Linked DNA regions of Cricetulus griseus. The protein of the gene in region 7 purifies or fractionates together with the protein of the main gene of each other region. This does not show direct contact. Links are inferred from orthologs where the notes say so. Each region holds a gene or a part of one and is shown on either strand. Other genes may lie near its edges. The genes, in order: Rbm17, Snrnp200, Phf5a, Snrpa1, Snrpd1, Snrpb and Sf3a1.

The links.
Region 1: the proteins of Sf3a1 (region 7) and Rbm17 purify together in Homo sapiens (affinity purification with mass spectrometry; 4 studies listed by BioGRID and IntAct, counting the BioPlex papers as one, with this or other methods). This does not show direct contact. The link is inferred for Cricetulus griseus from reciprocal best matches to the Homo sapiens genes SF3A1 and RBM17.
Region 2: the proteins of Sf3a1 (region 7) and Snrnp200 fractionate together in Homo sapiens (co-fractionation; 3 studies listed by BioGRID and IntAct, with this or other methods). This does not show direct contact. The link is inferred for Cricetulus griseus from reciprocal best matches to the Homo sapiens genes SF3A1 and SNRNP200.
Region 3: the proteins of Sf3a1 (region 7) and Phf5a purify together in Homo sapiens (affinity purification with mass spectrometry; 3 studies listed by BioGRID and IntAct, with this or other methods). This does not show direct contact. The link is inferred for Cricetulus griseus from reciprocal best matches to the Homo sapiens genes SF3A1 and PHF5A.
Region 4: the proteins of Sf3a1 (region 7) and Snrpa1 purify together in Homo sapiens (affinity purification with mass spectrometry; 6 studies listed by BioGRID and IntAct, counting the BioPlex papers as one, with this or other methods). This does not show direct contact. The link is inferred for Cricetulus griseus from reciprocal best matches to the Homo sapiens genes SF3A1 and SNRPA1.
Region 5: the proteins of Sf3a1 (region 7) and Snrpd1 fractionate together in Homo sapiens (co-fractionation; 4 studies listed by BioGRID and IntAct, with this or other methods). This does not show direct contact. The link is inferred for Cricetulus griseus from reciprocal best matches to the Homo sapiens genes SF3A1 and SNRPD1.
Region 6: the proteins of Sf3a1 (region 7) and Snrpb purify together in Homo sapiens (affinity purification with mass spectrometry; 3 studies listed by BioGRID and IntAct, with this or other methods). This does not show direct contact. The link is inferred for Cricetulus griseus from reciprocal best matches to the Homo sapiens genes SF3A1 and SNRPB.

What each region holds. Positions count from the first base shown.
Region 1 is NC_048596.1:228,372,263-228,375,962, reverse strand, and holds part of Rbm17 (splicing factor 45), read left to right. Parts: intron 1-1,825; 5' UTR 1,826-1,840; coding exon 1,841-1,963; intron 1,964-3,700. UniProt on the Homo sapiens protein: Splice factor that binds to the single-stranded 3'AG at the exon/intron border and promotes its utilization in the second catalytic step. Involved in the regulation of alternative splicing and the utilization of cryptic splice sites.
Region 2 is NC_048599.1:51,367,529-51,371,998, reverse strand, and holds the start of Snrnp200 (U5 small nuclear ribonucleoprotein 200 kDa helicase), read left to right. Parts: upstream 1-1,496; coding exon 1,497-1,541; intron 1,542-1,958; coding exon 1,959-2,122; intron 2,123-3,360; coding exon 3,361-3,532; intron 3,533-4,470. UniProt on the Homo sapiens protein: Catalyzes the ATP-dependent unwinding of U4/U6 RNA duplices, an essential step in the assembly of a catalytically active spliceosome. Plays a role in pre-mRNA splicing as a core component of precatalytic, catalytic and postcatalytic spliceosomal complexes.
Region 3 is NC_048595.1:379,006,377-379,010,808, reverse strand, and holds the start of Phf5a (PHD finger-like domain-containing protein 5A), read left to right. Parts: upstream 1-1,591; 5' UTR 1,592-1,681; coding exon 1,682-1,733; intron 1,734-2,307; coding exon 2,308-2,331; intron 2,332-2,857; coding exon 2,858-3,024; intron 3,025-4,432. Other genes in the region: Aco2 (aconitate hydratase, mitochondrial), read right to left, coding at 912-947.
Region 4 is NC_048596.1:131,213,870-131,218,228, forward strand, and holds the start of Snrpa1 (U2 small nuclear ribonucleoprotein A'), read right to left. Parts: upstream 2,803-4,359; 5' UTR 2,726-2,802; coding exon 2,644-2,725; intron 858-2,643; coding exon 710-857; intron 1-709. UniProt on the Homo sapiens protein: Involved in pre-mRNA splicing as component of the spliceosome. Associated with sn-RNP U2, where it contributes to the binding of stem loop IV of U2 snRNA.
Region 5 is NC_048595.1:225,869,072-225,873,457, reverse strand, and holds the start of Snrpd1 (small nuclear ribonucleoprotein Sm D1), read left to right. Parts: upstream 1-1,564; 5' UTR 1,565-1,707; coding exon 1,708-1,721; intron 1,722-4,386. UniProt on the Homo sapiens protein: Plays a role in pre-mRNA splicing as a core component of the spliceosomal U1, U2, U4 and U5 small nuclear ribonucleoproteins (snRNPs), the building blocks of the spliceosome.
Region 6 is NC_048599.1:48,446,484-48,449,377, forward strand, and holds the end of Snrpb (small nuclear ribonucleoprotein-associated proteins B and B'), read left to right. Parts: intron 1-342; coding exon 343-495; intron 496-948; coding exon 949-1,087; intron 1,088-1,374; coding exon 1,375-1,500; intron 1,501-2,109; coding exon 2,110-2,120; 3' UTR 2,121-2,214; downstream 2,215-2,894. UniProt on the Homo sapiens protein: Plays a role in pre-mRNA splicing as a core component of the spliceosomal U1, U2, U4 and U5 small nuclear ribonucleoproteins (snRNPs), the building blocks of the spliceosome.
Region 7 is NW_023276807.1:100,726,740-100,730,439, reverse strand, and holds part of Sf3a1 (splicing factor 3A subunit 1), read left to right. Parts: intron 1-704; coding exon 705-826; intron 827-3,700. UniProt on the Homo sapiens protein: Component of the 17S U2 SnRNP complex of the spliceosome, a large ribonucleoprotein complex that removes introns from transcribed pre-mRNAs.

The DNA.
Region 1 (3,700 bases), on a different chromosome or scaffold from region 7:
TGGATCTTGACAGTCTCCTTAATGTATTTGTTAACTTCACTCAGTGTTTTGCTGTGTTTGTAGGGAGATTAAATGGCTAACCTGTGGTATATTCATAAATGCTTAAAATAGCCAAAATGTAAATATACATGCCTTAAAAGGTTCTTTGCAGGCAAATTATTTAAGATAAAAATCAATGGAGTGATAGAACAGCATTCAGGGAAAATCACAGGAATGGCTTGAGGAGCCTAATGATTTCCTGACCAGGTGCTGCCTTCTGTTTTAGTTGGTGAATTCACAGGAGCTTGTATTAGTCGTAATTGAAGTAATCAGTATTTATGCAAGCATTCTTTTACCATGATAGTCCAGTTCTGTAAACATAAAGGTCATTGGAAACCAGAAAGTCAAAAGAATATTCTTCATATCTACTGAGATGTAAAGATGTAATTTCATGAACTGTTACAGAAAACTATCAAATGCTCGAGAGATGACAATGGTTTCTAATACTTAAAGCATTTTTTAAGGCAAAGGAGAGCTAGTCGGATCACATGGAATTGTCAACAGACCATCTTCAGTTTAAAGATGTGAAATGAAATCCCAGTATCACAAAACTTCATTAGTTCAGCAATGAAGATTGCATTAGCCTTGAGTGGTGGCACATGCCTTTTATGCCACCACTTGGGAAGCAGAGGATCGATGAGTTTGAGGCCAGCCTGGTCTGTGAAGCGAGTGCCAGACACTGTGTCAGAGAGAGAGGGAGAAAAGTGGTATTAAATAGAATTTTTAGATAGAAGGTCTCTATTGGATACTCAGTTCCTCCATTGTTTGATTTTATTTTTAACCCTAAAATTAATGAAAATATGTCTGTCAGAGTTGACACTTTTGAGTAGGGTGATATACCAGTGTTTACTAGTGTTAGTCACTCCATCTTCATCCCAAGTGCTACCTATCTGTAAGCGCACAAATCTGTGGGAGTGTGCTGGTTAGTTTTTGTTGTTTTGGTTTGGTTTTTTCCCTCAACTTGATACAAGCTAGGGTCATCTGGGAAGAGGGATATGCCACTTGAGCTCCCTCCAAAGCCCCACATGTGGATGTTGTTAAACAGGAGTGTTTAAGAGACAGCACCTCTGTTACTCTTCTCTCAATAGTCATGTTTTTACCATCTCTTTTTTATGAATATGTGTAACTTAATGAGCTGTTTATTTAAGACATGGTCTCATGAGTCTTAGACTAACCTCAAACTCCTTATGTAACTTGGATGACATTGTGCTCTAGATCCACCTGCCCCCACCTTCCAAGTGATGGAATATCAAGCATGCACCACCACACCTGGTTTGCGTATGTTCTTTATAAAAGCAGATACCTATGCTGATCCAGCCTACAAACTGCTGCTTTCATAAGACTTCTACTTTCTGCCATTGAGATGAACAGTTTTTAAAGTGGATCTATATACTTAATAACGCCCCAAATGATACTTACTTCATTGCTGTTCTAGAACTGATTTTAGTCATGAATCATTTCACCACAGTCTTTTAGATTGAGAAATTAATTCTAGGCTGAATAGTGGCATTTCCCACTAGAAAGTATAGGCATAGAATCACAAATTCAGAGCCAGCCTTATCTTTGTGATGAGTTCAAGATCATCCTGAGCTACATGAAACCAGTCTTAAAAGAAAAATTAATTCTAGAGGACCGTTTTTAAAATAGTGCATGGGTATAGTTTTGCATATGAGAAAGAAATCTGCCTTTGTAACAGCAGGTGGTCCATGGTGCTGCTGTTTTAACAAAGTGGTGTTCAGAACTTGCTCTTGTTGCATATTATTTAGTCTGTTCCCCTGTCTTTCAGCAATAAACCAAAAAGATGTCCCTATATGATGACCTGGGAGTGGAGACCAGTGACTCAAAAACCGAAGGCTGGTCCAAAAACTTCAAGCTTCTGCAGTCCCAGCTTCAGGTGAAGAAGGCAGCTCTCACTCAAGCCAAGGTAAACACAGGCCCAGAGCAGGAGTGGGAAAACCCACTAAGAGAGTTCCTTGAGAAAAGTGGGGGCAGGAAGGTGAAAAACTGAAGTTACTTTGCTTCTCCTGGCTGTTGGGAACATCAGAACTGTTTCATGGAGTAGGAGTGAAGAAAAGCAGTGCTCTCAAAATTCTAAGCCATGAGGCTGGCTTTATGCTTGAGTATGTCAGAGACAGAACTTGTTTTGTTCCTGAGACTGCTTTCATAGCCACAGTCCTAATATTGTGGTAGTTCTGGTTCTAAGCTGGGTCCCAGGAATGTACATTGTTAGGCAGCATCCTGCTAGTTAATTTTTAATTGTAGGAAGCTTGGAAGCAGCTTAGTAGGATAATCAGATCCACAGTGCACATCCCGGAGGGCTCCGTTGTTTGTGAGCGTGTCTGCCATGTAGAGTTATAGATGGGAATTGCTCTTGTCTGTGTTGTATATGCGTTAGACATGGGCATTATCTTTGAAATAATTCAACTATTTCCTTGTTTCTATTTTTATTTTTTAGACAGGATCTCAGTGTGTGGCCTGAAGCTGGCTGTGTAGACCAGGCTAGCCTCAAATTCACAGAAATCCACCTCTGCCACTCTAGGGCTGGGATTAAAGGTGTGGGCCACCACAAAATTTAAAATATGGAAGGTATACTTGTGAACTGGATGTTTCTTAACTAAAATGCCCAGTGTATTTTAGAAATGAGAATACTTTGTTCAATTTTTGATGTTTCTTAGGTAAAGATTTTGCTCTTGTATGAAATACAAGATACACTATACATTGTATAGTGTATCTTTACCGAGGCTCCTTACAGAGGGAAGTAATAAAGGTTGAAGCTGAACTGGATAGCACAGCCCTAGTAATCCCAGCACTTGGGAGGTTGAGGTGAGAGTATCAGTCTGGTATATAGCATGAGACCCTTCCTCAAAAAGGGTGTGGAGGCTTTAGAAAAACTGCTTTGGAAATAGACACTGAAGGGTTGCAAATAAAATGGTTCCATTGGTGGCTAGAGAAGTGGCTCATCAGTTAAGAGCATTTATTGCAGTTGTAGAGGATGTGAGTTCAGACCCCAGCATCTCACAAACACCTCTAATTCCAGCGCAAGGAATCTGACACACTATTCTGACCTCTGTAGGCATGCATGTGGTAGACATAACACAGGCAAAACACTCAAAAATTAACAGTGTGTGTGTGTATGAGAGAGGCGGGGGAAGAGAATATAAAGTTAGTTTGTAAGTTGCTGCTTAGGAGCAAGAAATTAATATTTTCACATGAAGTCTAGGCTGTTTGTGGTTTTCTGCCTCAGTCTTTAATTTATGGGGTTTTTTTTTTGCTTATTGATATATACACGTATGTATGTATGTATGTATGTATGTATGTATGTATGTATGTATGTATGTGTTTTTCAAGGCAGAGTTTCTCTGTGTAACCCTGGCTGTCCTGGAACTCAGGGATCTACTTCTGCTTCCCAAGTGCTGGGATTAAAGGTGTGAGCCACCACACCCAGCTATATATTTTATTGTCAGCTATTAGCAAATATCTTGAGATTTTAGCAATATCTTGAGCAAATAGATTTTAATAGATCAAGGTGGAATATTACTTTAATATGTTGTTTCTTTTGGGCTCCTCAGTGAGTTTCTCATAGTACTAATCAAACTTGTAAAAATATTTGGTAGAGAAAAATTTTACTTGTATCTAAAAGATGAAGCTATGGTTTCATTTG
Region 2 (4,470 bases), on a different chromosome or scaffold from region 7:
GCCCAAAGAAAAAGCTGTCTACAAAATAGGGTTGGAGATGCCAGGCTGTGGTAGCACACACCTTTTATCCCAGTAGTTGGGAGGCAGAGGCAAATTGGAGGCCAGCTTGGCCTCAAAAACAAATAACAACAATAAAAAATAATAATATAGAATAAAATAATAATAAATATAATATAAATATTTTGTTAGTAATATGTTAAGATATAATATATAAATATTCTATATATTATTTGCATTATAAACATAAATAATAAATATAATAATAATAACAACAATAATAATAGCATGCAGAGAAGTCTCTTCAGAGCAAGTTTGTGGCCTACCTGGACTCCAAAAGATCTTTTCTCAAAAGCCAAAGAAGGGCTGGAGTGATGGCTTAATGGTTATGAACACTTGGCTGCTCTTTTCAGAGGACCTAGGTTTCAACCCCACCACCCACAAGGCAACTCCTAACCTATCTGTAGCTCCAGTCCCAGGGGATTTAATACCTCCTCCTGGCCTTCTTGGGCTCTGCGCATACATGACACACAAACATACATTCAGACACAGATATACACGTAGCCAAAACACCCATATACATAGAATAAAACGAAAGTAATGATAAACAGATTAAACAATAAAAATTGCCAGCAAGATGGCTCAGTGGATTAAGACACAGGCCTAAGGGTCAGTTGTGCTTATTAAACCTAAAGGGAAAAGTAGAAATAGCTGTTTTGTTTTCAATGTAGAGAATTATTAAAAGATTAGATACCGCCATTTCATAAAATGTATCATTACTGCTTAATACATCTGAATAGTATATCTGAATAGACTTTTCATATATTTCTTTAGTAAATGTAGCGTTTGTGCCACATTGAGAACAAATAATCCGTATCTATAATCCTGACATGGACTGTGACAGATCATTGGGTGCAAATATTTCTTCCTTCACCTTCAGTCAGCTGCCACAGCGATTGACTCTTGAGGAAAAGCGTTGGGGGCAGCAAACATTTCCCCAATTTCTCAATACAGAAGAGAAATCCAGTCAGTTATTAGAAGCATGTTAACTTGCTCCTTCAACTTTCTCATCCTTAATAAACGGAGCTCCTAAGCTTCCGTTTGCCTGCAAGCATGCCTGCCTGCCTGCCTGACGGGACCGCTGGACTGAGAAAGCAAAAGTGTATTACAGAAAGGGACTTTTAACACCACACTAAAAGTGGCTTCGTGACTCTGCGTACGTATAGGTCCTTGGAACCATATTGCGCAGGAGCGTGTTTCCTAGGTCCACGGAATCCCTGACCCGGATGTATTACCTTCTGCAACCGCCACCTAGTGGCGGTGCGTAGTCGCCGGAAAGTATCACTTTTAGCGTACGTCCCGGAAGCGGAAGGGAGTCCGTTGCTTTTCTCTGTCCCGCACGTTTGTCCTGCGTCGTTCCTGCTGGGCCGGCGCGGTTTGTTGAGGCGGTTCGCAGCGTGTGGAGAGTGGAACCCTGAGTTCCCGGAGCATCGGCAGCCATGGCGGATGTGACTGCCCGCAGTCTGCAGTACGAGTACAAGGCGGTGCGTGAAGTCTCGGCGGAGGGCTGCGGGCGAGGGAGGCCGTGGGTAGCCACAAACACGGACGGAATATCTGATCTGGGTGAAGGCTGGATTAAAACACGACGGAATAACTCTAGTGGGGTTTAGGGCGCGTGAGGACTCGGGAGGTTTTTTCCCAGTCTCCTCAAACCGCCCCTTCCTACTCGTTATCCCCAAATCTGCTCAACACTTCACCTAATGTGGGTTATTGTGACTACTGTTAGGAACGTTGATCGTTCACTTTACCAGACAGTCCGGTGCTTGGCGTTTTATTATACTGTTTCTTCTTAAGGGGATTATTCCTTTTTCCCAGTATTTTTCCATCTTCAGGTGTCACTGTGATAACAGGAACCGAAGCTATTTATATATTAAAGTTTTGATTAAGTATGATCTTTTCAGAACTCAAATCTTGTGCTCCAAGCTGACCGCTCACTTATTGACCGGACCCGCCGGGATGAACCGACAGGAGAGGTTCTGTCCCTGGTTGGGAAGTTGGAGGGAACTCGGATGGGAGATAAGGCTCAACGCACCAAACCACAGATGCAGGAGGAAAGACGGGCCAAGTAGGTACCAACGGGGTGTTATATTTTCCTTGTAGTCTAAAGCGCATCTTGAACATTTGAGCAGTAGTTTTGATGAAGTACCTGTGGAAGATCAGCGGTGTTTGCACAAGAGAATGAAAACCTCTTCAAGGTTTAAAGTTTCTTTGGACTTGGGTGCAATGAAATGGAACAAAAATCTATTAGTACTTTTTGTTTCTGATTCATAGGTAGATGCTAATTTTCTTCAAGCTATTTTTTTCTTAAAAATCTGTTTCATTTTTAATCATGTGCATGTGTGTTTTTTTGTGAGTATGTGCACATGCATCCAAATGCCTGTGAAGGCCAGAAGACAGTTTGGAACATAGGAGCTGGAGTTTCAGGCAGTTGTGAGCTACCCAGTTTGGAGGGCTGGGAACTGAACTCTGATCCTCTGCAGAAGCAGTATTGCTTCTAACTACTTGAACCTTCTCCCCAGCCCCGTCACCAACTATTTTCCAGACCCTTGTTAATCTCTTGTCTCAGCAGTTCAGCCCCACTACCACTGTTAAAAGCTTCTTACCCTAACTCCCTCCGGTTGTTGTCCACTTCCTGATGCTTTTGTTTTGTTGTCTCTCCCGTTTTTTCATCTTGATAGATCCATTTCAAAAGTTGCATGTTCTCCTACTGTGCTTTCTTTCTCCTTTTTCTTTCTGTGAAGTCTTAACAGTCCCCAGGCCCTGTTTAGTTTGAGTGGTTATAATTGGGGAGAGTTGTTGAGACTTGAGAGAATTGTTAAATTTGAGAAGAAACATTCCTTGGTCCTTCACTTTTCAGAATCTGGCTTCTTTTCTAGCTGTTTATTGGGAGTCATAGAAGTAGATTCCCCTGGAGCCTAGCCTCTCTGGCTAATAAAAGGTTTTGTTTGTTTGTTTGTTTTTTAAAGTTGAAATACCATTATATTATCTCCTCATGAGGATAAAGAAATAAATACTTCTTCAAATGCTTAAAGTCAAGTGGGAATTACTTATTTTGATTCATGTTCCTGCTTGCACATATTAGATGTATAGAAAAGGTAAACTTCGGGGGTGGGGGGCAGGGGAGGAGGAGAGGGAGAGGGAACTGGGATTGACATGTAAATGAAGCTGGTTTCTAATTTAAAGTTGGTCTAATTGCAATTATAAAAAGAAAAGAAAAGAAAAGAAAAGAAAAGAAAAGAAAAGGTAAACTTGACTTGGGGGCGCAAAGTTCTCCCATTGAGCATCACACCCTGTGTTCATTAGGAGAAGAAAGCGTGATGAGGACCGGCATGACATCAACAAGATGAAAGGTTATACGCTGCTGTCAGAGGGCATTGATGAAATGGTGGGCATCATCTATAAGCCCAAAACTAAGGAGACGCGAGAGACCTATGAGGTGCTGCTCAGCTTTATCCAGGCTGCTCTTGGAGACCAGGTGAGGCTGGAACCAGAGGATGAGGCCTTGTGTTTGGAAAGAGAAAGGGTGATGCACAAGAATTTTGGTTAAATTATTAGTTACAAATATTTATTCTGTTTGTGGAAATCAGGACAACTTTCATCTGTGTGGGACTCAGAGATCAAACCTAAGTTGTTGGCCTTGGTGGAAAGTATAAGTTTGTTTTGCTTCTGAAAAGCATCTACCTAATCCCCCCCCCCCCACTTCTGGGGACTGACTCCAGGATCTCTCATGCTTTGTTTTTGTTTTTGTTTTTGTTTTTGTTTTTTTTTTTTTTGTTTTTTTTTAAGTTTTTCAAGACAGGGGTTCTCTGTGTAGCTTTGGAGGCTGTCCTGGAACTAGCTCTTGTAGACCAGATTGGTCTCTAACTCACAAAGATCTGCCTGCCTCTGCCACCTGCCTCTGTCTTCCGAGTGCTACGCTTAAGGGCATGTGGTACCACTGTGTTAAATCCTCAGCAGCTCCCTATAGTCTTTAATTTTTATCTTTTGGTTTTTCAAAACAGGATTTCTCTGTGTAGCCTTGGCTGTTCTGTAACTCACTCTGTAAACCAGGCTGACCTCAAACTCAGAGATCCTCTTGTCTCTGCCTCCTGAGTGCTGGGATCAAAGCTTATTTTTTAAATTTTATTTTATTTGTTTGTGTGAGACAAGGTCTCATGTAGCTCAAGCTGACCTCAAACTCACTGTGTATTCAAGAATAACCTAGAACTTATGGTCCTGTTGTTTCTCCAAGTGCCAGGATTACTGGCACATTGCCATTGTATCTTGTTGATGAATGTGATCAAAGCCTGAGATGCTGCAGATTTTCTTTCTGTTCTTTTTTTTTTTTTTTTAAAGTTGCTTTTTATGTGTATGACTGTCTTTCTTATATATATTTGTGTGTGTGTGTGTGTGTGTGTGTGTGTGTGTGTGTGT
Region 3 (4,432 bases), on a different chromosome or scaffold from region 7:
GTCTCGTAACAGTAGAGTCAAGGTCAAACTGTTGGGTCTTCTCATCTTTCCACCTAGTATCTGAAAAGCAACTGTGAATTTGAAATACTTTGTACTCTGACAACTACAAACGACCACACCCTGGTTCAGACAGTTCTGACATTAGGTTGCCATGAACAAGGAGAACAGAGGGTCAGCAGGGTCACTGCTCAAGCTATAGCACTATCGTGACACCGTGAAAGTCAGAACTTTCATCTACTTTTTTGCAGTTTTACTATCTATTGAGTTGGAAAAAAATCATCTGACATCTATGTTGCCAGAAATATGTAAATCAGGTTATATTAGTGAACAGTCTTGACATCTGGTGCAGAGAGGAACCACTGTTATCATGACTATGGACTATACTGGTGCTCAGAATACTCTACCCTTCTTGCATCTATGACCCCAGGTGTCCTCAAAAGGTAGTATTGGGTATAGCTTCTGCAGACTCCAGGCCCGAGAACCACACATACAAACGGCTGGCAAATCTCTGCTGTTAATGGGAAGTGAGGGCTTCAAGCACCTGGCTTAGAGGAACCCACAACCACCGCGCCCCCCAGTAACCTTGTCATCACCTTGAGAACAGAAAACCACACTGGGGGGAGCGGGCAATTCGGCCCTCAGGAAATGAGGGGTGCCCTCATCCTTTATCACACTGCGGATGCTTAGACTCAAGCTTCCCGCTGGGCGGGGACGGGGACTGGGCCTGGGAACTGACTGTGCCAGGGACACCTTGACCTAGGACAAGGCAGGAGCGGACAAGGACGCTGGGCCTGCAACCGGGACAGGTTCGCAAAAGTCAGCCCCAGGTTGAGCCCGCCTCGCGTGGCCTCGCCTACCGCCGCAGGCAGAGCTCCCCGCCCCCGTGAACCCACACATCGGAGCTCGCTCACCTGCAGCCGGGTCACCAGGAGGCTGTAAGGCGCCATTTTGTGCACTGACAAAGATGAGGTCGCGTGAAAGTGACGTGCCACAGGGCGCTTTTGAAGTGCTTGGGAAGGGGCGTGGCCTCCAAAGCGGCGCGTCACGGTGAGGGTGGGGCCTTCCTCCTCGGAGCCGGAGTCCAGAGAGCGCAGTGGGCGGGGCTTCCATGACGGGCACAGCGCGAGAAAGAAACTGCCAGCTTGTCAGTCTTTGCACTTGGGGACGGAGACGGCAGCGGAGCCAGGAGTTCAAGGTCATCCTTCACGCCTTGAGACTCAAAAGGGAACCCCCAGACCACATATTTTGCGGAAGCATGCGTGAGGCCCTGGCCTCAGCCCCGAGCACAAAAAGTACCATGTGTACAAAAGTTTTTTGCGAGACAGGTCTGGCTGGCCTCGAACTCAGAGATCCGCCTCCCGAGTGCTGGGACTAAAGGCGTGTGCTACCACCAACCAGCCATATGTAGGAATTTTATCCAAGACAAAAACACTTAGTTTATTCGTTCAAATCGGGAGGGAACAAAAACTTTATTATAAAGTCTTTGATGCACCTGCTAGGGGTCCAGCAAGTTCACGCTGAGAAAACTCGCGAGAACTAGCGAGATTTGGTGCAACGAAGGGCAAAAGCTGATGGGCACCTTGACGGCCAATCACGATGGAGAAGTGGGTGTAGGAACGGCGTAGGTTAAAGGTCGAGCGGAAGTTCTCTAAGCTTCCGGCCGCCGGCTTGGGGACGAGTGATGGCTAAACACCATCCAGATTTGATTTTCTGCCGCAAGCAGGCTGGTGTTGGTGAGTTGGCTCGCCGCTCCCTTCCGTTGGAGTGGGATGGTGTTAGAAACGGGAGAGTGGGGGGTTCGCTTCCTCTTTAGGGCCTGGCCTTGGGGGCTCCACGTTTCGCGCCTTGCGGTCCCTGGGTATTCTGGGGGTGCGCCCAGGTTTGTGACTTGTGATAAGAAGGCAGGATCGCGCGTCTGGGAGCCTGAAACTGGGGGCAGCGTCTGCGCTAGGTCTGGAGAAGCCGTCCCAGGTTGCTTTGAGGATTCCGGACAGGGCGCTGGTGCAAAGCAAAACTTAGGGGCTTAGGCCGGGCGTGGTAGTTCACGACTGTAATCCCAGCGCCTGGGAGGCTGAAGGCAGAAGATTGCTGGGGGTTCGAGGCCGACCTGAACTACATAAGAAGTTCCAGGCTATAAAACGGGAATCTGTTGGGAGGAGGGGCGTGGAGAGGGGAAAAAAAAGGATAATAAGACAGCTATTCTGCTCACTGTAGTCATTGCTACCTGCCCCATCCTCTATCCCAGCTTTGAGGAACAACTTCCTTGCTAAATCACCATTTTGATTTTAACTGTGTTTTTTCTTGCAGCTATCGGAAGACTGTGTGAAAAATGTGAGTGGAACATACCCTCTCACACATTGCCTTCTTTCTTTGTTTTTTGACGAGCCAACAAGCCATTTATTCCAGAGGAGCCCTAAAGAAGCATTGAGTGGATATGCCAGACTGCAAAGAACACTGAATCTCTGACTACAACCAAAGGCTCCCCACCAGACTCCCACTTTAGCTTGCATACTTTAATATTTCATACTTAGGTTGTGGGGGAAAAATACTTTTGGACAGTAAGAACTATCAGAGTAGTGTGAACCTTCCCAGGCCAATGTTTGTGCAAGAAGGCATGCAATTTGTTGATGATAACTACATAGACTTAAAAGCTCCTAGCTAACACGTCAAAACTCTTCCCATTTATATTTTGAAGGAAACTGAGGTAGATGGTAGATATAAGATAGGGTGGATGCTGTCAAGATAGAGAAAAGGCCTGAAGTCACAGTCAAAGGGAGACTGGTTATTTCACCCATAGAATAAAGATCTTTAGGAAGTAATCACTAGTGAATATAACTCCATTCCTCTTCCTTTGCAGGTGATGGCAAATGTGTGATTTGTGACTCCTATGTGCGACCCTGCACCCTGGTTCGCATATGTGATGAGTGTAACTATGGATCTTACCAGGGCCGGTGTGTGATCTGTGGAGGCCCCGGAGTCTCCGATGCCTACTATTGTAAAGAATGCACCATTCAGGAGAAGGATGTGAGTGTAGACTTGAGCATTCCCTCCTGGCCTTTCTTCCTTTTTCTTTGGACCATTTTGCCATCCATGTCCATCTCTTCTGGTCTATGGAGACTGCAATGTTCAGCTAGTCATGTAGGTAGAGGTTATTATCATCCTCCTTTTATACTCTGTCCCAGGCTATCTGACTAAATCTGGTGTCCACATTACATCATGTTATGCTTCTCTAAGACCTTCTTGGTGTGTGCTCATGATGAAGAGAGCACCCAGCCTCCTCAGCACTCCACATGTGGATGCTACCTACCACCAGTACCCGAAGCCAGATAGGGCTTTAAGGAGGGAGGGGGGTTGTTCTACGTGGTGCGGAAGGTGATCTATGATAGCTGCATTTTCAGTTTTGATTGACTTTATCATCAAATCTCAAATCGGGTCTTACCACATCCAGCAGATATTGATTGGGGAAGCCACATTTAGGCATTAGCTAGAGTTCCCAACTGAGAGCTTTTTCTCCATGGATGAGCTCCAGGCTTTTCTTACTGCCTGCATGCAGTTTATGCCACAGGACATACAAATGATTCCTGTTGGGTATATCCTCACTGTTCTCAGTGCTGCAGAGTTTGGTTGTGTTTGGTTTGGTTGAATTTCTTTGTTACATCTATTTGTGTGGGTGCATGTGGTATTAAGAGGACAGCTTGCCTGGAGTTGGTCCCACACACACACACACACACTAGTGAGTATTTTGGCCCACTAATACTTTTATGTGCTTACTGTTTTTCCCTGTCCTTCTTAGAGAACCAGATTGGTGCTTGGCCCAGAATGGAGTTTTAGAGCAGCTGAAAAGTATTGTTTACTCTGTTGAATCCACTATTGTTTGGGAAAAGGGGAATGTTGTTGATTAAGTATGAAATCATAATTTCAGTTGGTGGTTTGAACATTCTCCTGCCCTAAATGCTCTTTCCAATTCTTTAGACAACCAGAACTCGATTGTATTCTGTCTTCCACAGCTGTGGATTATGTCCTCCATCTTTCCTTTTTCTCGGGTCTTGGTAATAGTGCCTAATCTGTAATACAAGGATGGTGCTCTCTTTTTGGTACTGTGCCTATAAAGTGTTCCTGGGAGACACTCCCCACCCTGGGCATTTGTTATTTAGGAACTGGGAAGTACTGGGTGTAATGGAAAGAGGAGGGACACACAGTTCTCAAGCTAAAGGGTCCCTGAAGAGACAACACTTTCTTGAGCTTTCAGAAATGTCTAGAGTCTGTTTCTGACTTAAGCTTGGAACCAGAGGATGCTTGCTAAACAGTAATTGCCATCTCACTTGTCTGCATGCGCCCTGTGATCTGATACCTTTGGATCCCTGCCCCTCATTCTGCTCCCTGAGAATTATTTTGGACATCACTTCACCTACTTGCCATTATACAGGAACGT
Region 4 (4,359 bases), on a different chromosome or scaffold from region 7:
GTTCAAGGCCAGCCTGGTCTACCAAGTGAGTTCCAAGACAGGCTCCAAAGTTACACAGAGAAAAACCTGTCTTGAAAAACAAACAAACAAAAAGGATGTTATTGAGACAGGGTCTCACTCTGTAGCATCAGTTGTAACTTGCTGTGGAGACAAGGCTGGACTGCCTCAGCCTTCCAACTGTTAGGATTAAAGGTGGGCACCACTACACCTGACTTTTATAAATCATTTTTATTATGATGCTGTTGGTAATTGCTCTAGAATCTGAAATGTATACAGAGCAACATGTTTTAAATTTAAATTCAAAGTTTAGTATCAACTACGAATACTAAAGATCTCTGAAGATAGCAAGTAAGGTCAGACCAATGCCCACGTTAGTCTCCCAATCTCTTAGAAAAAGTGCTCGATTCATTCCTCCCTTTAAGAAGAGACATGGAGAGGCTGGAGCACTGGCTGCTCTTCCGGAGGACCCAGATTCTATTCCTAGTACCCACATGAGAGCTCACAACTGTCTGTAATTCCAGCTCCAGGGAACTCACACCCTCTTCTGGCCTCCAAAGGCACCACAATGGTATACAGATAGTGCAGACACACTTGCAGGCCAAACACTAATATACATAAAATGAAAACTAAAAACAAATCATGTCTTTCTTCAGGGTACATTGTAACATCTTTTCAAGGTAGAAAAGTATTCTCACTAGCAGACACTCACCAAATTCTGTTGTTGTTCACTAATAATGTTTTCAGTCTTCTCAATAAAGGAAAACCATCCAGTTTCCTGATCTCATTATCAGAAAAATCAATAGCATCAAACTGGTCTAAGGTAGCACCTAAATTTTCAATGACAGGGATTTTATATCCTGTAGAGGGGAAAAATACATACAGCAAATATTAATATAAATGAAAGGTCCTGAAAACAGTAGGAGCATCTGATTGTAATTAGACTCAAAGTACTCATTCAAGAAGTATTAAACCGGCACGGGTGCCATGTCACACTCTGTACAAAAATACTGAAGATAAGTGACAAATGAGTTACAGGGTCCTTACTGCCTCGAAGCGTGTGGTCATGCAGTAAACTTGAAGAGGAGGTTGAAGGCAAGAACAAGAACACAGGCGTATACTTAGTAATATTGGTGTCCACTGTTTATGAGAACATCTACAAGGTATTTACACTGTTCAAAGTTCTTAAGAGTGTCAGGCTCTATGTCAAGTTAACACTGCTTACTGTTAATGCTCAAGTCTTGCTGGGACACTGGTGACCAGCCTTCTAAACCATTCACATAACTCAGCAGTATATCCTCATGCTATCCTGACTCACTCTCTTCTCCACCAGCTCCAATTCAGAGCTGAAAATGGTGTCTATACAACCACAAACCACACTGTGAACATCCCCTTGATTGTCTAATGGGCATAACCATCGAGCTAGGTGCCAAAGGAAGAAGAGAAACTTAGTACACAACTTTCACTCAGTTGTGAAAGAGCGCAATAAAATAAGCTTTATCAAGACTGCATGGTCTTCAGAGATGCAGCAGAGACCAAAACTGTGTGCCAAGACAGTAAAAGGGTTCAGATACCTCTGAAATGGACTTTTGTCTGAGAAAGCTAATGTCTAACAAAAGCACTAGGATTTTCTATAGGTCAGCAAGGCATTTTAGCAAATGGCAGAGTATAGTCCCCGAGACTGTGGTTGCCTCATGACACAGTTATATAATCCTAACCCCTTTCAAAGCCATCTCCTGAAAAGTAGATAACTGCACTTTCAATGCTATATTTTGTTATTATTGTCATTTTCTTGTTTTATTCGACACAGGAGACTAGGCTGGCCTCGAACTCAGAGATCCGCCTGCCACTGCCTTCCGAGTGCCGGGCGTGTGCCACCGCTGCCCAGCTAATGCTGTGTTTTGTTTTTGTTTTTTTAAACCAAGCTCTACTCAACAGGTTAGTGTTCACCACCCCTCACATGGGAGTGATGACTATAAGCCTTGGTCAAACAGATCAAGCTAGAAAACACCTTCTTATAAAAGTGAATTATCAGGGGCTGGGGACCTGGTTCTGTGGGGCGAGTGCTTGTTTATCAAGAACAAAATCCTGGGTTCATCCGCAGCACCATATAAACATGGGGCACACGTTTAAACCCAGCGCCGGGAAGTGGAGGCAAGAGGGCCGGAAGTTCGAGAACGTCCCTAACTACACAGCGGTTTGAAGCCAGCTCTGAGTACAGGAGACCCTGTCTCAAAAAACAAATGAGCAGACCCAAAATGGAATTATTGTATAATTAAGATAACTTTGACTTATATCTAATCTACCCTCACGTGTCATATTAACGCATTTGCTAAAAACCAGCCGGTCGCGGTCCGGAAGATACCATTTTCTATTTTCCTGGCCCTCAAACAGTTCAGGCTGCTGAGCATGCCGGGCAAAGCCTAACGAATACGGACCCGGGAAGGAACGGAGAAGCCGTGTCTGTTAGCGGGAGCGGGTAACAGACGGCTCCAAAGGGTCCTGAGGGACCGGCGATCGGAGGAGGTACCCTAAACCCGGGCGGGAGGCCCCCGGGCCAGGCTCCGGCCTCCGCGCACGCGGCGGGGCCCGCTCCTCCCGGCCTCGCGCCGAGCCCGGACACAGCCCGCGATCCCCCTAACTCACCGCGAAGATCCAGCTCGCGGTCCCGCACAGCATTGGTGTACTGCGCCGCCTGCTCGATCAGCTCCGCCGTCAGCTTCACCATCCTGCCGCCGCCGAGTCCCCTCACCTCGGCCACCGGCCTGCGCCTCCCGCCAGTGCCGTGTCCCAGGGTGCACCGCGCCGCGCTGCCAGACAAAACCAATCGGAGCGGCGCTCACCTCGACCACCAGGCTAAAGCAATCGATCGAAGGCACCGCCGGGCGTTGCGATCGTCGTCTTTGCTTCTTGGTTCTTCTTGGCTGGTGCGTTCCTGGAGTGTGGCGAGCCCAGATTCCAGATATTTGTGTCCAAAAGATAAGAACACGAGAGAGGCACTCTCACTTCAGTGAACCTCGAGGCTGGGGTATTTGGGATTGTCCAACAGGGGGCGGACACTCCGCCAAAGCTTCAGGGATTCAGGTTTCTAAGATTTGCGGTCCAGCAGAGACAAGGCTGGGCCATTCGGCTGGACTGCCTTAAGATGGGCAACATCCGAGCTAGTATGGTCACCTTAAAGCCTCAGGGTGGACTTGCGGCGTCTAGACATTTAAGTATTGATGTCGAGGGGCTAGCCAGAGAGATGGCATAGAGGTTAGGGGCACTTGCTGCTTTTGCAAAAGACTTTTGCAAAAGGAGTCTCATTTCAGTACCCAGTTGTGCACCTCACAACTGCTTGTAACTACAGCCCCAGGGATTCGTCGCCCATTTCTAACCTCCTCGGACACCGGCAATCGCAAACATAAAAATAAAATAAAGCTTAAATGATATTCATATTGTAAACTGGGCGTGGCGGGGAACGCCTTTAATCCCAGCATTTGGGAGGCCAGATCTGTGAGATGAGACCAGGTCATTCTGATCTACAGAGCGAGTTCCAGGGCTATGCAGAGAAAACCCGGCTTGAAAAAAACCAACAACAGCAACAAAATTCATATGAAGAGCAGGGGCGTACACACATCAGAAACCTGACATTTGATGAATGCCAACAGAGTGAACACACACACCTGCAGAGCCTTGGCCTCTGTCCCCAAAGACGGCCAGGAACCCAATTCTACGAATTAGTGCGCTTATTTTTTATCTTAGCTTATTAATTAGTGTATATGCCACTTGTTTGTGGGTGCCAGGGGAGGCTTATGGCCTGAGATTCCCTGGAACTAGCTGTTGTAATCCTGTGGACATGTGTATTACAGGCTGAACTCCAGTCCTCTGCAAAAGCAGAAAAGCATTCTTTAAATCTTTTTTTAAAATTACCTGTGTGGTTTTGTGCACATGGGTGAAGATACCCACAGACTTCAGAGATGCTAAATTCTCTGAGATTGGAGTTACAGGTGGTTGCTGGAAATGAACTCAGGTCCTCTGAAAGAGCTGTAATGGCTAAGTCAGGGGATGACTTTGAACATCTCACCTCCCTGCCTCCACCTCCAAGTGCTGGGATGATTGGATTGAGCTCATGTAGTGGTGGGAGTGGACTCTGAGTTTCTGTGCATGCTGAGGCAGGTACTCTACTGAGCCACATCCCCAGCCCTGATTTTGGTTATTCTAAGACAGGGTTTCACACTGAAGCTCAGGCTGGCCTGTAAATCACTGCAATCCTCCCAACTCAGTCTCCCAAGTGCTGTGGTTACAGATAGGCACCACTGAAATGGCTAAGGTAATGCCATCATGTCCTGACTCTGTTTTGTGCCTAGACATTCCACAGCT
Region 5 (4,386 bases), on a different chromosome or scaffold from region 7:
CCTGACTTGGCTGAAATCACTTTTTAGGGGGATGGAAGGTTAGAGATAGAGTCTACTCATATGGTACATGATAGCCTCAAACTTGCACCACCATGCCTAGCTCTGAACTAATTTTTGCCCTATTTCATAACCCACCTGTCTTCTAACCCAAATCTCAAGTTCCTAGGTGGTTTTCTTGATACCCAGGCCCATGCTTCTGTTGTAAGTCACCCATAAACTGCACACTGCAATTCTGGGCTTGCCTGCCTCCCTCTTTGGTTTCATAGGCCTTGGGACCAGTTCCCACACATCGGGACTGGACTATTTTGTGAAGGAGAAGAAGAAGAAGAGGAAGAAGAAGAAGAGGAGGAGGAGGAGGAAGAGGGGGGAGGGGGAGGAGGAGCACATCATATTAAAGCATAAGACTGGAGATACCGGATGTTGGAGAGTGCAATAAACAGATTTTTTTTTTTTTTGCTTTCAGACACTATGTTCTCCTGAGTTCAGTATAAGTAAATAAATAATTGTAAGTGTGGTGATATTTTGTTTGTGATCTAACAAAGCTTGCCTGCAGATCAGAGTGCAGAGCTGGCCACACTAGTTAGCCACAGATGCCAGGCAGTGATGGCACACATCTTTAATCCCAGCACTCAGGAGGCAGAGGCAAGCATAGCTCTGTGAGATCTGGGATACCCCGGGATACATAAGATTGATCCAGTTTAAAAGAGAAAAAAGAGCCAGATGGTGGTGGCTCACACATTTAATCCCAATACTTTAATCCCAGCACTAGGGAGGTAGAGACAGGAGTGGTGTGGCTGGGCAGAGAGAAGCCGGAGGAGACAGGAGTCTGAGGAGGCAGTCAGTCTGAGGACAGGATGGCCCCTTTGGTCTGAACATTGGTAGAGGTAAGAACTCTAGTGGCTGGCTGTTCTGCTTCTCTGACCCTTCAGTTTTTACCCCCTGTCAGCCGAGTCTGAGGCTTTATTAAGAACAATTAGAATTCATGCTCCATGTAAGAATCAAATATAATAAACTAATATTATCCAATCTTCTTGGGATAGTGGAAATTATCTGCACTGTAATCAATGATACATATAGATTTTGAGTAGTTACGATGTGGTTATTGCAAATAAGGAGTTGAATTGTTTTATTTAACTTCATTTGAAATATCCACATAACTTTTTAAGTCGAAGAACTTACTATATAATGAAGGTCTTATTTAAAACTGTCCTGAGAATGGCTTTCCTGTTTTTAAAAAGGTTCTCAGTAGCTCTGGGGTTATTACAAGTCCCCAAAGGAAAACTATTATATACAAAAATCTGATTGGCTCAGCTTAGTTGTCAAACCAACTAGGAGAAACTTGTCGGGCCGGTTCTCTGCTTCCAACATGTGGGCCCCAAGGATTAAAGAAGTCTTGGAGGGGTTCTCTCAGATCTTCTCTTCCTTCCAACTGTGAAAGCGCCAGGCCATTATAAATAGTTTTAAGGTGAATCCTCCTGCAGATGTCTTCCACCAGCCACGCCGCGCTCAGACGGCGCAAAGCACTCCTCCCGTCGCTAGGGGCCGCTGTGGTTGTCCCGGTGGCCGGAAGGCAGCGCGGCTTCCGCGTTTCCACCGCGGATCCGCAGGCCTCCGTGCGCTCTTCCGGCCATTCATACGCCTAGTCGGTGAGTCTTTGGAGCTCGAATTCCGTGTCCAGTAGGACCAGAGGGAGGCTGCGCCGCTAGGATGAAGCTCGTGAGGTGAGGAGGCTCTCCGGGCGGGCCGAAGGCGGCGGGGACAGGGTTTGGGCGGGCTCAGGAAGCCGGGCCTCTGCGCCCTCAGGGAGGCGGGAAAGCCGCGTGCGCGCGGCCTGCTAACGGCCCCCGCGTCCGGGCCCGCCGCGCCCTTCTCGTTGCTGCCGGCGAGGAGCCGGCGCGCCCCGGCCCTGCGCGTCTTCCAAGAATGGGGGAGCCGAGCGGTTTCTGCTCGCCTCGTTTCCTGCGGCTTGAACGGAGCCGAGGCCGCTTTCCCTGGCCAGTCGGGCTGCTTGCACGGACGAGAACTCCAAAGCAGCATGGTTTTATCTGCAAACAACGACGCCGATCTGCTAGACGTTTTAGATAAAGTTCTCCTTTATTTTGGATCGGTTGTATGTAACTGGTTAATGTTGGCTTTCGACTCACGACAGTGTCCCAGGATGGGGCAGAAGTTAAGTTAATTTCGCCTGATTGCAGATTGTGTCGGTTAGTGGAGCTTTGTTTGCTGGTATGAATACTTCCAAACCAAATAGGCATTAGGCAGAGCCCGAAACAGGGTTTAATGCCTAAGCCAGTTAGAAATATTTAGTTTCTTGTTGAGTCAAGGACTGCTTATAGTCACCTGTTAAAAGTAGTGGTACGAGATTTTTCTTTGTGGTTTTTCGAGACAAGGTTTCTCTGTGTAACAGCCCTGGCTGTCCTGCACCTCGCCATGCTGGCCTCGAACTCAGAGGCCTGCCTGAAAAGGATTCAGTCATTATGCTGGCCTGCCCCTGCACTCACACAGTAGTACCCTGGTCAGCCCAGATGCAAAGCATCCCTTTAAAAGAAAGGTCTCTGTCCACTTATGCTCTCTTACCCGCTTTTTTTTTTCCCTCTCTCTCTTTCCTGCTGTTCCCCTGGGGCAGACAGGACTTTTCTTGTCTTTCCTGTCCTCTCTCTGTCTCTGTGTCTCTAACCCCCCTTTTTTTCTAATAATCTTCTCACTTAAGTCCTACTGCCTGGCATGATGTCCTTTCGACTGGGTCATCCTTGCCTGCCATGGAATCCACAAAGGTCCCCCACGAACATTTATCATAACACTGCCTCTGTCTCCGGAGTGTTGGGATTAAAGGCATGACCCATCACCGTCGGGCTACAAGATTTCTTTCTTTTCTGTTTAATGCTGAAGGCAGAACAGGTAACATCTGGTCTGTTTGAAATGACAAACACTCTGTTCAGGGGGAGTTGGAAGAGAAAGCATATAAGGTTAAAAAAAAAATTCCACCTGTTCTGGGGATAGCGCCTAGAGAGCTTCCAATAATCGCTCTACCTTTGACTATAGCTCCAGTTCTTTTGTATTTGGACTGTAACATTAGGTAGAAAGTCTCACAATTTAAAGTATACTCTTGCTGTTTCCCTGCTGCCTGATGTGAACTATCATGTGTTTGCAGTAACTTAGGTTTTTCCCATTTAAAGATTCTGTTACGACAGCTTTGCTTTTGGGTGGTGGTACCTGGGGTGTTACCTCGACTTCCAGCTAGCGTCCTAGGCAAGTGCTCACTCTGTTACTGATATGAACCCAGCCAGGGCTACACAGAGAAACTTCTCAAACAACAACAGCAATGGTAATAATAAGTAAGAGAATTCACAAAATGAAGGATTCACTGAAAAATTGAGACAGGATGTCACCAGGTTGTCTAGAAGTCACTCCATATCCCAGGCTGACTTCAGATTTGGGATCATCCTACTGCAGCCTACTGAATAACTGAGATTACAGATCGGTGCCTACATGTCTTAAGGGAATTTTTTTTAGCAGACTGTTATCTCCTCACCCACTCCCTTGTTTCTGAAAGAATTTCTGCTTCCTGAGTGCTGGATTAAAGATCTTCACCCCCATACTTGGCAATATAATTTTTTTTAAAGATTTTTATTTATTTATTATGTATACAGTCTTCTGCCCGAATGCCAGCAGAGGCACCAGATCTCATTCAAGGTGGTTGTGAGCCACCATGTGGTTGCTGGGAATTGAACTCAGAACCTCTGGAAGAACAGTCAGTGCTCTTAACTGCTGAGCCATCTCTCCAGCCCCCGGCAACATAATTTTTTAAGGTGGGTTCCTTTAAAAGTTGCTGAAACGCTGGACCTGTCTGGTGGTTTTTTATTATTATTATTATTATTATTATTATTATTATTATTATTATTATTATTATTATTATTATGTGCACGGTGTACTCCCAACCGCAGGTCAGAAGAAGGCACCAGATCCCATTATAGATGATTGTGAGCCACCATGTGGTTGCTGGAAATTGAACTCAGAACCTCTGGAAAAGCAACCAGTGCTCTTAACCTCTGAGCCACCTCTCCATCCCCTGAGTGTTTGTTGTAGTCCAGTGTCACCTATAGAAAGGGCCTGCTGCTTTCCTTCATAGTAGAATAGTGGTGAGAATGGAACAGATAATATTACTTGTGCAGTTTGCTGTAGTAGTTTACAAAGGATATTGTAGAAAGATAGACTAGAAAATCTGAATATGAAGTGTTGTTAGATGCTATTGTAGGATTATCTTTCCATGGCCATTTGGCTAAAATAAAGCATGGGTGATGCTGTAGAATTATTTCACTGCATGTAATTGTGGTATTGTGAATTACAGACTAGGAAGTCAGAACATGAGGGGTCTGCTAGGTGCTG
Region 6 (2,894 bases), on a different chromosome or scaffold from region 7:
TTTCTGGCTAGCTCTTTTAACTCAATCTCTTAATGTTTTGTGTTGGGGCTTTTTACCTTCTCTTTCTGCTATCTCTAGCTGTCTGGCTTCTGGTCCCAGGTGTGACCCCCTCTTTCTCCTCCTGTTCTTTCTTGAGCTTATATTTCTCCTCCTATTTATTTTTTCTGCCTGCCAGCCCAGCTTATCCTTTCTTTGCCTAGCTATTGGCTGTTCAGCTCTTAGACCAGTCAGACATCAGACATCCTTACATTGTTAAACAAATTCAGCATAAACAAATGTAAAACATCTTTGCCTAGTTAAAATAGTATTCTACAACTTTTTTTTTTTTTTTAACTTTTACAGACTGGTATTGCCCGAGTGCCACTTGCTGGAGCTGCTGGGGGGCCAGGTATTGGCAGGGCTGCTGGCAGAGGAATCCCAGCTGGTGTCCCCATGCCCCAGGCTCCTGCAGGACTTGCTGGGCCAGTCCGAGGGGTTGGAGGCCCATCACAGCAGGTGAGGCACTGGAGGAATACTACTAGTTTCTGGTAGCCAAAAGGATAGGGGAGAATCTGCAGCTTGACGAAGCGTCCAGATTGACCAATCAGTCTCCTAATGAGTTGTGATTGTCAGGCTATCAGGGTTTGTCTGAAGAGCTATACAAAAGGTATTCCAGCCAACTGAATTTAGCAAAATGTTCTTGTGAGAGTAAGTGTACTTTTCTTTTTCTATGTTACCAGTCTTAACTGCAAGTGCTTTTCCCAGGTTGGATTGGGAGCCCTTAATAATAATGTCAGGCTAAGAGGCTGGAAATTGGGCATTCAGGCTTCCTGATAGTATCCTTGTACATGGGGAGTCTGATGGTGTGAGTTGTAGGGTTAGGAGATTTCAGACTCAGGCAACTGGGGAGAAGAGTGGGAAGATGGATGTGTTGACTAGTGTTTTAATTCTTCTTTGTTATTTATTTAGGTGATGACTCCACAAGGAAGAGGCACTGTTGCAGCTGCTGCAGCTGCAGCCACAGCCAGTATTGCAGGAGCCCCAACTCAGTACCCACCTGGTCGTGGGGGTCCTCCTCCACCTATGGGCCGAGGGGCGCCTCCTCCAGGTAAATATCTTCAGAGGAGACCAGTACTAGTTAGTCACAAAATGCCTTAGCTGGATTCATGATGAAATAGATCCTTAACTGAAACTGATGATGAGTTTGTGTAATTAAGCAGGATTACTCTGAGATCCAGCCTGGCTGACTGAGTTGGGAACTAGCTGGATAAGAGCCATTAGGAGCCCCCTTTGCTTGTAGAGGCTGAGAGGATAGACTGGGCTGTCTGACTTGGTATACAACTTTGTATGTTTCCTCCAAGCTTTTAAGAGGTCTCTTGGACTTTTTTCCTTCAGGTATGATGGGCCCACCTCCTGGCATGAGGCCTCCTATGGGTCCTCCAATGGGGATCCCTCCTGGCCGAGGAACTCCAATGGGAATGCCCCCTCCTGGAATGCGACCTCCTCCTCCAGGGATGCGAGGTAAGTGCCTACAGTAGTGACTTTGGCTTTAGACCAGATCTGTTTTTGGGCCTCAAATTTAGGGAATTGAGCTCTTGGAGGATAGCTGTGTCCAGAAAGTAGAGAGGAGGGAGTAAGCATTAACAGGTTGGCCTTGCCTCCCTAGTGGAACAGAGGTATGTTCAGTGTCTAGTCCAGCAGCCCTGGATGTAAGATGAGAGTCCCTGAGATCACACTAGAGACTATCTGATGCCCTTGACTAATTAAGAGAGTCTTGCTGGGTATATACTGGCTCATGCCTTTAATCCTAGCATTCCAAAGGCAGGTGGATCTCTGAGTTTGAGGACAGCAGGTCTACACAGTGAGTCTGTTAAACAGAAAGCTCAGAGAATATCCTGACTACCAGCCCTGTGTTCTTTCCATGAAGTCATAGTAGGTCTTAAGATAAACAATGTTCAGATTTCATGACCATTTTCTTTCTCTTTGGTTTTGCATTTGTGTTTTTTATGGACATAGCCCAGTCAATCCATCCCTGTAGTCACTTGATAATTATCTGCAGACTGTGGGAAGGGGTGGTGGTGGGAGTTTGTGTTACAGATCAGGTTCTGACTAAACTTTCTCTTGCTTCAGGTCTGCTTTGATCCTCGAACAGCATTATGGCAGTAGCTCCACTGAGGTGTGGGTCCCATTCCCTTGGGCCGAGTTAATACAGACCTGTTTGTTGTTCATGGAGTCTCCCTGGATCGTCTGGTTTTCCTTTCAGGGCTCCCTCCCTGGGGAATGTGCCCTCCAAGGCCCTAGACTCATCTTGGTTCTCCTCAGCTCCTTGCTGTTTCCCAAAAGGCTGTACATAGTCGTGTCCCGTCCCCCCGTCCCCCCCCCCCCCCCCCGTGGCCTATGAAGCTGGTTTATAATAAACTCTTAAGAGACTGTTCATACATGCAGTAGATACACCCATTTGTCTTTAGAAAAGTCTTTGATGAGTGCCTAATAGTTAAGGGATTACTTTGAAAAACTAACCATACTCTTAGCTGCTTCCCTATAATATTTTATTGTTGTTTGGACTATAAGGCTTTTTATCCATTAAATTTAAAGGTCAGTTTTGGAAAGAAACGTTCATATGCTAAGTGTTGCATCACTTGGGTAGGCAGATCTGTATGAAGCAAACACTAAAGGTGGGGTACTCTTAGAATTTTTTCTCAGGGTCACACACATGTGCATACTGTAACCTGACTTTTAAATGGGATTGCCATGATTTCTTGTACTCACTTTGTTTAGATGGTGAGATTGTCAGCAACACTGTAATACTTAGTACAGCAAGACTAGTGGTGAACCATGGAAGTGTTGGGTTTCTTGGCATGTCTTTGTAGCTCCAGAAAATCACATTAGCAGAGGTAAAGGGTCAGGGTTATCTC
Region 7 (3,700 bases):
GTATAGAACCTAGGACCTCATGCAGGGTAAACACATTAGCCACTGGTCTGGTCTCTCTGGCTTTCCTGCTTCTTCTTTTTTTGTTTGTTTGCTTGCTTGTTTGGTTTTTCCAGACAGGGTTTCTCTATGTAGCTTTGGACCCTGTCCTGGAACTAGCCTTTGTAGACCAGGCTGGTCTTGATTTACCTGCCTGTCTCCCAAGTGCTGGGATTAAAGGCATGCGCCACTGCCACCCAGCGGCTTTCCTGCTTGTTAACAGGCAATCCTTAAGTGTTCATTCCAGACACAGTACTAGGTTCAGGGCTAAAGACATAGCCTTTTGGATTCTGGTTTCTTAGATTGTGGTCAACATCCTTGAGTCTAAATCACATGGACATTGGGTAAGAATGCAGATTTGGAGGCTAAGGATATTGTTCAGTGCCTTGCTTAGCATGTGTAAGGCTCTGAGTTTGAGCCCTAACTCTTTGGCAAGTAAACAAAAAATGTGTATCTGATCACACCAGATGTCTGTCTAAAGGAGAACCAAGGAAGCCATTGTTTTCCCTAATTCTTTGGAATGGCTGCATAAGTACGTATAAGAAGTCTGCAAGACAGAGTCGTGCCAGTTGTATCATGGAGAAATGCTGAGGGCTGGTATAGAGTTTATGACAGCCGAACCCAAACCAGGAACTTGAAGATCTTATTTCCTTTTTCTGTTTTCACAGCCAGTTGAAGAAGAAGCATCATCGAAAGAAGAATCCACCCCTTCCAAGCCGGTGGTAGGGATTATTTACCCTCCTCCAGAGGTCAGGAATATCGTTGATAAGACTGCCAGTTTTGTGGCCAGGTAACAGCTGCTTCTGTACAGTGGGTTGGGGAAAATTGTAGTGTAAAAGGCTTTTGAATCACCATAAAGACAGCATGGGTTTTTTTTTTTTTTTTTTAAGATTTTATTTATTTATTATGTATACAACATTTTGCTTCCAAGTATATCTGCACACCAGATCTCATAACGGATGGTTGTGAGCCACCATGTGGTTGCTGGGAATTGAACTCAGGACCTCTGGAAGAGCAGTCAGTGCTTTTAACCTCTGAGCCATCTCTCCAGCCCCCAGCATGGGGTTTTATAGAGGCTCTAGCTTAGGCTTGTTCTTCCAAAACCAAAGTAGGGCAGTGGGATAGGCAATAGACAGGACTGGTGTCTTTGGCATACCACAACAGTAACCACAGTGAAAGCCATACCCAGCTGTATAGTCACTAGGAGTTTCTGCTTCCAGAACAAACCTGAGGAAGTTCCTGGTAGCTTCTTTTAACTGGTGATGTGAGTATGCTGTGTTTGAGCTGCTGGCCAGAAGAAATAGAAAACAGAGTTGATCATTCTCATTGTATAAGGACTACTTTTCCACAAAGCCTCAGATGATCATTTATAGATGAGTCAAGCGAGATAGATAGCTGACAGGACTGAGTGAAGCTCAGTTATGTTGTAAACATTTAGTTATCTTCCTGGGCTAAGTGAAAATTGGTCAGGATTCCTCCCAGTGTCCTCATTCTACATCCTTAGATGTAATCTTTAGGACCACTTGACTCCAAAGGTCAACACATCCCCTGGCTTAGGTCATTTATAAAGTATTCTTTTGGCAATCCACAGATATATCCAGTCTACAGATGTTTTGTTTGTCCTTAGACTCTTTTTTTAAAAAATTCCTATTTCCACACTTTAAAATGAGGGGATTTCACAATCTGTCTGGATTTCTGGCTTTTCTTGAACTAGACTGCTTCTTACATGATAGTCAGTACTACTTGGCCCTGAACAGTGTCCAGGGGCATGTGCCGTATAAGGCCCACACTTACAGTCAGTCACTCCCCTGAGGTAACATCTCTACCACTTTGTATTATTTAATAGATGTTTCTTTCTCAATTTCCTAATCTAGTGAAATATCAAAAGAGATTCTGATTGACATCTTTCACAGTGTCCACTCCATGAGAGTTCATGTCACTTTAAGGGCTTTAATTAACTTGGATTTTCACTTAAAAGCTACCTAAGATTAGGGCATTGGGTGTTGTGTTTATTTGGCTAATGTTTCATAGCAAACTTAATGCCTTTCCCCTTTCTTCTGTGATTTTAGTAATTAGGGAAAGGATGTTGCATAAGCAATAAGTACAGTCTTAACTGTTGGGACAATTCCTGTACTACTAGCACAAGTGCTATCATGTCTTGGTTTTCCTTGTATGCTAAATTGTAAACTTCCTTATATTACTCCATGATTTCCCTCATGCTGCATGTTTTCTATGGAGAGGATGCAGGGTGTCCAGGCTATGTTTTCTTTAGATTGCTTCCAGGTTTCTGATTGGTCATTGAAGGTGTAAGAGGAGTTTGAACATTGTCTTTCCCTCTTAGAATTTTCTTTAGAAGAAAATTCCATGTGAAACATTAGTTGCTTAAGAGAGCACTAAAGAAAAACTGCTGGGGACTAGGGAGATAGCTCAGTTCAGTAAAGTGCCTGTCACAAAAGTATAAGAACTTGGGTTTGGATTCCTGGCATTTATGTAAAAGCAAGATTTAGCAATGCCTACATCTGGAAACCTCAGTACTGGGGAATGGAGACTAGCAGATTCCTGGAACCTGGCTAGGTAGTCTAGCAAATCTATTAGCTTCAGATTTGATGAGAAACCTTGTTCCTTCCCTCAAAAACTAAAGTGGAGCCAGTGTGTTGATGTATTCTGAAGACAGGGACATGTCAATCGGTGGAGTTTCAGGCCATCCTGGTAGCAATTTCAGGCCAGCCAGACACTATCTAAAATAAATATGTAGATAAATGTAAATAAGATGGGAAATGATAGACACCTCACATCAGCCCCTGGCCTGTGCGCATGGACATGTGTGCACAGGTGTATGCACTTAGAAACATCTCAATTTCTCACGTAACTTTCCAATAATTGTGTCATCCTCTGCTGCCACAGACAAAAAAAAAAAAAAAAGCACAACTGGAGTTCTCTTAAAAAGAAAACCCCATCAATGGTATAGTGATGCACACCTGTAATCCCAGTACTAGAGAGAACTGTTGAAAGTTGGAGACTAGTCTGGCTACAAGGTAAGCTCTATTTAAAAAAAAAAGAAAGAAAGAAAGAAAGAAATAGGATCTGGAAAAGTGCTCAGAAGTTGAGACCACCTTCTGCTCCTAAAGAAGACCTGTATTTGATTATTCCTAGCACAGGTCAGAGTAAATCACAGAGAATCTGAGTAAACACACACCACTTTTTTTTTTTTTTTTTTTTTTTTAAGAAAAGGAAAACAAAATGGATTAGAGCCAGCTGTGGCTCTTACCTTCAAGTCCCATAATGTGTGAGGTGGATCTCTGTGAGTTCAAGGCCAGCCTGTGAGTTTCAGATCTACTAAGGCCAAGACCTTGTCTACAAGGATTGATTATATAGCTTAGTGATGGAGTGAGTGTGTATCTTTATGTACAAGGGTACAAGTTCTATCTTTAGTAGTGTAAAAACTCCACCATGTTTCTAGATGGGTTTTTTAACGTGGTATTCTAAAGTCTGAACTTGTAATGGCTCAGTGGGTAGAATGCTTGCTATGCAGCATTGGGACTTGAGCTTGGATCTCCAGCATCCACATAAAAGTATAGTGTTGGGGATAAAGATAGGCAAATTCTTGGAGCCCACTGGCTGGTCAGCCTGTCTAACCATAGTGGTGAGCCCAGGCTCAGTACAA